Notamacropus eugenii: one gene and its partner. The protein of the gene in region 2 binds, or shares a complex with, the protein of the main gene of each other region. Links are inferred from orthologs where the notes say so. Each region holds a gene or a part of one and is shown on either strand. Other genes may lie near its edges.

Region 1 (3,745 bases), on a different chromosome or scaffold from region 2:
CTCTCACCTTATGCTTTCATAAAGCATTTTCAAATGAGCCACTTTAGCCAGGGAAAGGTGGAGGCCAGGCCATTCCAAGATTAACTCAAATGTTAATGACCAATTAGTATAATTCAGGTGGAAAAGGAAGGTTTACCAAGTGGTAAATGGCTTGGAGATAGTGTAAACACTGGGCTTGACTTCTTGTGATAAGAAGCTTTTAATCTAATCAGTTCCTTTATATTTAGGGAATATAAAGGGATTGGAGTTCCGTAGCCACCAACAGATTTCCCAGAAGCAGACTTGGAAAAACTTGCAGGTAAGAGGAATACTTATCTTCTTGTTGCTTGTTTGTTTCAGTGATGTTCAAGTCTCTGTGACTCTGGGTTTGTTTGTTTATTATTGTGGCAAAGAAAAAAAAATCAAACGGGAAGGGAAGACCCTCAGGGTTCCTGAGTAAAAGAAACAATTACTATCTAGTTATTACATCCACTCTATTCTGGGTGAGTGGGGACTTGTTGTCCAGTCTATGAGCTCCAGAGTGAATTGGTTTAAGACTTGATCTTTGAGCAAGAAATGTAACCAGTAAACCCAAGGGAAAAAAGGCAGCTTTTGGAACTTTCCCCTGGGTAGAAGGAGAAGAGAGGAGAGGAGAGGATAAGAAGGGAGGGGAGGCGAGGGGAGGAGAGGAGAAGAAGCCTATTCATTGAATGGGTGTATCTCATGGGTCTCACATTGCATCAGGCCACTGGACCCAGATGGCTCAGAAGAAGAAAGTAAGGCTGGTGACCTTGCACAGCCCTCCCTCACTCAAATCAAAGTCAACTGCAAGTCATGTCATCATCCTGATGTCATGATCCTCTTTAAGAACAAAAGACAAACACAACAAAAACAACAATTTTGGCAAAGATACTGGAGTGGTTTGTCATTTCCATCTCTGGTCCATTTTATAGATGAGGAAACTGAGGCAAACAGGGTTAAGTGACTTGCCCAGGCTCACACAGCTAATAAGTGTCTGAGACTGATTTGGAACTAGGGTCTTCCTGACTCGAGGCCTGGTGCTCTATCCACTGTGCCATTTAACTACAAGACAAAACTGCAAGACAGAAGAGAAGGTGAGTGATAAAGGCTAAGAAATGGATAAGATAGAATAAGATAGAATCTAGTAACTGGGGGATGTCTGGAATCCTAAAACCATCTCTCCCTCTCCCTCTAGATAATGCTATCTCTCTCAGCACTAAAAATGGCAGTCTTTGGGGCAGAGGGTAATCTTGACCTGGGGTCTCTGGATCTTTTGACCCTTGACCTCTGACATTGGCTGTGAGACCCTGAGCAAGTCACTTAAATTCTCAGTGATCCAGATGAGTCTCTAAGATTAAAATTAACAGAACAGTTGCTGATATGGTGGTTTCTTCACCTATACCTACAGCTGCCTACCACTGTGAAATCACAGATCCAGACAGAAAATCCCCCAAACTCCAGACTTAGTCCAGTCTCTGCTGCCCTTTCTACCCTAACCCCTCCATAAGGCCATAGCTACTACTCTGACCCCATTCTCAGCTCGGCTCGACTCAGTTAAATCACAGCCCTTCTCTCTTGTCTCAGGAAACAGGACTGAGAAGATGGTGAAAGTCAAGGCTTTTTCTCTGATGCTGTTGCCTCTATTCTTGGTAGTAGTGAACAGTGCTATGGAAGAGGCTCACTTCAGGTAAAGGTATCTCTTGCTTGACAGAGTAGAGAGAAGGACTGGAAGTATGACTCCATCTTGGGCTTCCTCACAGACACCTATTTGGCTTAGAGAGTGAGAATTTAGTGACCATAGATAAGAGAAGCCCAAGGAAGTAGTCTAGCAAAAGTCTCTGAAGGATGCTAATTGAACTATTCTTCTTCCTCAGAGGATGAGGCCAGGGTGGGTGGAGTTTAGGCTGCAGGCAGGGAGATTGAGAATAGACATTTGGAGGAATTGTCTGATAGTCACCTGACTGAGGAAAATTGGAATATCGCTTCTTGGAGAACTTCAGCTAGCATCTATTTTCTATTTCTTGAATGGGTTAGGTTGGTGAGTTGCCTTTCCAAAGGTAAAGAGATAAACTACAGACTTTTTTGGGGGGGTAGGGGAGGGCGGTCTATATAGACTGCATCATTATGACTGTCTATCAAGGAGCTGAGTAAGGCAAGAAAGAAAATGGAAGTGTGGCAGAGGTGATCAGGAAAATCCCTGACTTACTCAACTGGAGTACCTCCAGTGGAGTTGGACATATACTCTGCTGAGAGACTTTCTTCTTTCTGAGATTATTTAGCAACTCCTTATAGCTCCCAATTGAAACAAGAGTGATTCTTGTTTCAGGGGAGTGATTCAACATGAGGGGAGGAGGGGAACCTATATGAGAGGTCCCACTTTCTTCTAATTTCTCCTGCCTATATCACAGCTTCCACTGGAACCAAAGTGATATATTGAGAGAAGTCCCTGGGTTGAGAATGAAACTCCATCTATATCATATCTCTGACAAGATATTTGGGCATGAAAACACATAGCCAGTAAAAATGAGCTCAGTTTGTTTTTTAATGGGTCTTCCTGAGTTGTTGTAAATATTTTTCTCCTGATTGCTATTGACCTTCCTTTCCTTCCTTCCATAGCTTTCCCTGTCCTTTCTTCCTCTCTCATCTTCTATCCCTCTCTTCTTCTATCCCTCCCCCTGATCTGTTCCCTGTTCTCTTCTTCTTGATCCTCTCTTGATTCTATTTTCCATCATTTCTTACCTCTCAGCCCCACTGAGTCGCCTCTTCTCACACTGTAGGCCTCACCCCAAAGTTGGTGGCCCTTGGGCTCGAGGACAGCGCTATGCTGAGGGGACCTTCATTAGTGACTACAGCATCACCATGGATAAGATCATGCAACAGGACTTTGTTAACTGGCTGCTGTCCCAGAAGGGGAAAAAGAACAAGTGAGGAGTTTCTCATCTCTTTCCCAGGGTCCTCTAAGCCCTTGCTCCTCTACCTCACTGTTTCCCTGGGTCCCTCCTCTTCCCCTAGCATCTCCTGGTTCCTTTCTCACAGTGTTCCCCAGTTCTCTCACTTTTTTTAAGTGTTTGCTAACTTATTTTTCCTTTTAAAAATTTTTAACATTATTTTTTTTAAATTTTGAGCTCTAAATTTTCTCATTCCCTCTGATCCCAGTCCTTCCAACATCTTGACAGCCCAGTCCCTCTTTTCTAGTATCCTCATCATTTTCCCCTGGAGTTATCTCTCTTCCTCACCTTTCAGCTCCCAACCCCATTATCTCCACCCTTTTCAGCCCCTCATGTCAGGTTGGACTGGTCTTGCCCTTAGAGCTCAAACTGTTGTCAGTGGTCCTCTAAAGGCACCCTGGAGAAGAGCCCTATCCACTTTGCTTCAGTTACAGCTCTGATTAAGTGAAATAATCCAGTTTTGGGGTTGTACCAAATTGCTTTTTTCAATACTGAATCTACGTCACCACTTTTAAAGGGAGAACATATTGAACTCTCAGGAGTTTACAGAAAGGAGAAGGATATTGAGGCAATACGAAGTGTAGCACTCTCAAATTTTCTAATGGCAGGAAACTTTGGGAAGAGGATAAATCAATCTCTATTCTCAAGGGTTCCCTTTATCACTCTTCAAGACTGGTCTTAATGTAATTGAGGGTGTCCTCTTTGGGGGCCCTGAAATTTGTGTAGTGATAATTGAAAAATGAATTAAGGAATTGGTTGGGTGAAGGGGGAGATAAGTCTGTGAAGGGGAGACAGAG
Region 2 (3,745 bases):
ACAAAGGAGATGAACAGATTCATGTGGACATAGTTTCGGGTGCATCGAAGCTTCCTAGAGGGTGAGGGTCAGGACAGAATCTATTGACCTTGCCCCATAGCGACCAGCTCTCCCCTTCTTCCCCCCCACCCCAACACATACTCCATATATTTCCTTTCCAGTTCTCCCTAAGGAAGCCTGCCCTGGGCTGACCTTCCATCCTTGCCCAACAAATGGTCATCCTATCTTTGCTTGAAGATGTCTATACAGAGGGGACTCCACCACCTTCCAAGACAGTTCATTCCACTTTTGGACAGCTCTTCCTGACATGGAGCCTAGAAGTCCTCTCTTCTAGAGCCAAACAACCAGTCTGATCCATCATCCATCTAAAGGCCCTTGTGCTTGAAAACATGTCTGTCCTCCACCCTCACATATTTCCCCCCACCCATCCAGAGTCTCCTAAAGAGCAAAGCTGAGTCTCTCTTTAGACTGGGGGCCCTCTGAGGACAGGGTCTTGTCTCTCCTCTGGGACCAGTTACCTAAAGGAGCTGAGTATAATCAGAGCCAGCAACAGGGCAACCAGGGAGAGTGAGTACCCCACTGTATACATCAGTTGCAGCTTCTCCAGGATGAGCCTTTGACTCTGGAGGAAAGAAGACCCTCAGAGCTCAGCACACAGCCCTGAGATCAATAGCACACTTTCCCATGAGACATCGAGATTTTTCCAGAGTCTCCCTGAGGAAAGGGTAATAATCTCACCTGGAAGACCTGCTCTGTCTCTGGAGACACACATTGGGAATGGTCCCTCCAGGATCCCCACTGCCCGTCAGCCCCACAGAGACGCAGCACAGAGCCGGTGGTCACTATAGAGAACGTGGAAGACAGAGACCGGGCTGGAGGAGGGGTGTGATGTCAGGGTGGAAGGTGAGGTGGGGCAGAGACCCAGAGAGGCACCTGTAGGTACTAAGAGAGCTCACAGGGTCACAGATTTCAAGCTGGAAGAGATCTCTTCATTTTACAGATGAGGAAACTAAGGCCTAGAAAGGTTCAGTGACTTGATCAGGGTCACATAGTTTGAGGCAATATTCGAACCCAGGTCTTCCTGACTTCAAGCCCAGGTCCTTGTCTCGTGCCATTCTAGACAGAAATACAGAGATGTTCCCAGAGAAAGAGGAGCTCAGTATGAGTGTGTCAGACCTGGGGGTCCCTGAGCATACAATTCATTAGAACACGGAATAAGAGGCACATGGAGAACATCTAACTCAATTCCTCTTTTTACACAGGGTGAGGGGAAAGCTGAAACCCATGCCGGGGGGATGACTTTCCCAAGGTCCCATGGGGAGACAAAGACTTGAATCTAGGAAACCAAAGAGACTCAGATAACACCGAGAGAGTCAAAGAACCACAGAACCAGAGAAACACCAAGACATGGAGATAGCGAGTCTCCCACAGAGAGGAGAAAGGAGAGACACAGAGAAACCCCAAAACAGGTAGAAAAAGGGAAACTGAGGCAGCCTCAGACTCAAAGCCTCAAGAGATGGGCCTCTTTGCTACTCTCCAAAGGAGGGAATCCTCACCTTCCTGGTGCCAGGGCAGGTACCAGGGGCAGGGGGCACTGGCTGTGGTGTTAGGGGGTGAGTGGGGCCAGCAGGCATACATGTCGAAGGTTCCATTGCAGGCAAGGCCTGGGGGAGGAGGAAGCAAAGGAGGCAAAGATGTTCACTCCCAGTTCCATCTCCCAGGCTTCCCCAAGGAGGGTGGGGAGGAGAGAGGAAGAGAATATGGATTTGTGAAGGAGGTGAATTCTTCCCCTATCCTTCCCATAGACTCTAATGGCTGCTTTAACCTCCTCCTCCCTTCATTAGCTCAAGCATGACCCATCATATCCGTGAACTCTCCATACCATGGAATGCCCATCCTTGATGCTTTCCCCTAGGTCTGGACAGACTGGTCATTCCACCAATCCCTTCCTATCCTCCTCCTCCAACACATACATTTCAGTCTGCCTGAATACATCCACAGCCATCCCCCAGCACCCACAGTTGAGACACTTGGGGTCTTGTAAAGGCATCTCCATCAGCCTGAATAGTGGCCTGCATGCATTTGATCCTTCCCCCCAGATTCTTTCTGAGATTCAGACCAGCCCACTTATTCCATCCCTCAGGAGCCCCAGCTCACCTGCCAATGGTTCAGCAGCAGCTAGAGCCTCCTGGCACTGAGCCTGGTACTGCAGCCACCGACGGTAGGCCTCATCTGCTGTACTCCTTGGAAACTTGGCCTGTGGAGAAAGAACCCTCCTCCCCAGACCCCCAGGTGCACAGGAGAAGAGGAAGGGATCTTGGAATTTCTACCACAATTGGTTGTGAGGTTTAAAACCCTCTTGGAAAGCCATCAGAACCCATCCCATCTGCCCCATCCTCTATATCCTGAAATGTTCCCCACCCTTCTCCTATAGAAGATCTTGTACTTATCCCAGATTTGTAAGGTATCAGCAAGGGGTCAGGGGACAGGATTTGCAGGCTGATGTGAGAAAGGGAAAGGAGGTGGTCTAGAGTAGCCATCTAAACTGAGGGGTGTCTTAAAACCTGGAAAACTTGATCATGTGACAATTACTTGGGAATGAGGAGGGCATCTGTAAACCCACCATTAGTGGTCCTGGGTGTGTTTTCTTATCCCTCAGCCCCCTCCACCCCCAGGAGGATTTCTAAGCCCTTATGGCCACCTTACTTGTGCTTTCCACAGGACTGGATGGGACAGCAAGAGAATCAGGACAAGTGGAGATGTCAACATCACAGGAAGGAATCTGGCCTTCAGAGCCCACGGTTCCAGGAGTGCCTCGGAGCTTCTTTTAACAATCTTGTGGGAGGCAAGGTAGCATGAGACACAGATGACCTTGGAGCCAGGAAGCTCTCTGACACATCTTGGCTCTGTGACCCTGAAAGGTCACCTCATCTTAGGGCATCTTGGTACCTTAGTCTACACAATCTAGTGACTATTAAATTGAAGGGAAGAGCTAACCTGTTTTGGCAGAGGGAATTTCGTCACCTAGTAGCTCTCTATACCAATGAAAATCATGGATCCAGTCCCTATTCCTAACTACTCTGTGAGAACAATTGGGACAAAGCAAATAGAGCCACATTTTCTCCTTCATTCAGATGCCTCAGACACCTGGGTTCCTCTGTCCCTACCCCAATCCCTCTCTAGCTTCCAAAAGTTTTGAGATCTGAGGTGTTGTCAAGAAGGAAAGTAGTGGATGGAACCCCTCCCGAGGAAAGTGGGGGATGGAAAATATTATTACAATGCCCATTGTACAGAGAAAATGAAAAAAAAGAAAGAGGATTTCAACCCATTAGATCAAGCTGTTTCTGTGTTTTCCAGAAAGCACTTTGAGATCCATGGCAGAAATAGAGGATTTAGTTGATGGCTTCTGATCTCCCCTAACTTCTAAGTTATAAGGCAGCCAGGTAGAGTGCCAGTCTTCAAGACTCATCTTCCTGAGTTCAAATCTGGCTTCAGACACTTACCAGCTGTGTGACCCTGGGCAAGTTTGCCTCAGTTTCCTCATCTGTGATATGAGCTGGAGAAGAAAATGACAAACCACTCCAGTATCTTTGCCAAGAAAACTCCAAATGGGATCATGGAGAGTAGGACCCGACTGAAATGACTGAACAACTAGATAACTTCTAAATCATTTCCAATGCTTCCCCATACCAGACTGAGAATGAAGGAATGGACTGTTTGCCACCCCCCACCCCACCTCCCATTC

What was found. Proteins that work in one complex are often made in the same cells at the same time.
Region 1: the proteins of GIPR (region 2) and GIP are in contact, whole or in part, in a cryo-EM structure (PDB 7RA3), measured with the Homo sapiens proteins. The link is inferred for Notamacropus eugenii from reciprocal best matches to the Homo sapiens genes GIPR and GIP. Residues at the interface, in NP_000155.1 of Homo sapiens: Gln30, Thr31, Ala32, Leu35, Tyr36, Trp39, Tyr68, Trp71, Leu88, Trp90, Arg101, Arg113, His115, Asn120, Gln130, Arg131, Leu134, Glu135, Leu137, Gln138, Tyr141, Tyr145, Arg183, Ile187, Arg190, Asp191, Pro197, Gly198, Pro199, Tyr200; in NP_004114.1 of Homo sapiens: Tyr52, Ala53, Glu54, Gly55, Thr56, Phe57, Ile58, Ser59, Asp60, Tyr61, Ser62, Ile63, Ala64, Met65, Asp66, Lys67, Ile68, His69, Gln70, Gln71, Phe73, Val74, Trp76, Leu77, Leu78, Lys81.

Annotation. Positions count from the first base shown.
Region 1 is NC_092873.1:352,061,174-352,064,918, forward strand, and holds the start of GIP (gastric inhibitory polypeptide), read left to right. Parts: upstream 1-1,590; 5' UTR 1,591-1,601; coding exon 1,602-1,687; intron 1,688-2,777; coding exon 2,778-2,924; intron 2,925-3,745. UniProt on the Homo sapiens protein: Potent stimulator of insulin secretion and relatively poor inhibitor of gastric acid secretion.
Region 2 is NW_027325105.1:183,280-187,024, reverse strand, and holds the start of GIPR (gastric inhibitory polypeptide receptor), read right to left. Parts: upstream 2,921-3,745; 5' UTR 2,770-2,920; coding exon 2,707-2,769; intron 2,258-2,706; coding exon 2,158-2,257; intron 1,665-2,157; coding exon 1,557-1,664; intron 843-1,556; coding exon 739-842; intron 623-738; coding exon 519-622; intron 55-518; coding exon 1-54. UniProt on the Homo sapiens protein: This is a receptor for GIP. The activity of this receptor is mediated by G proteins which activate adenylyl cyclase.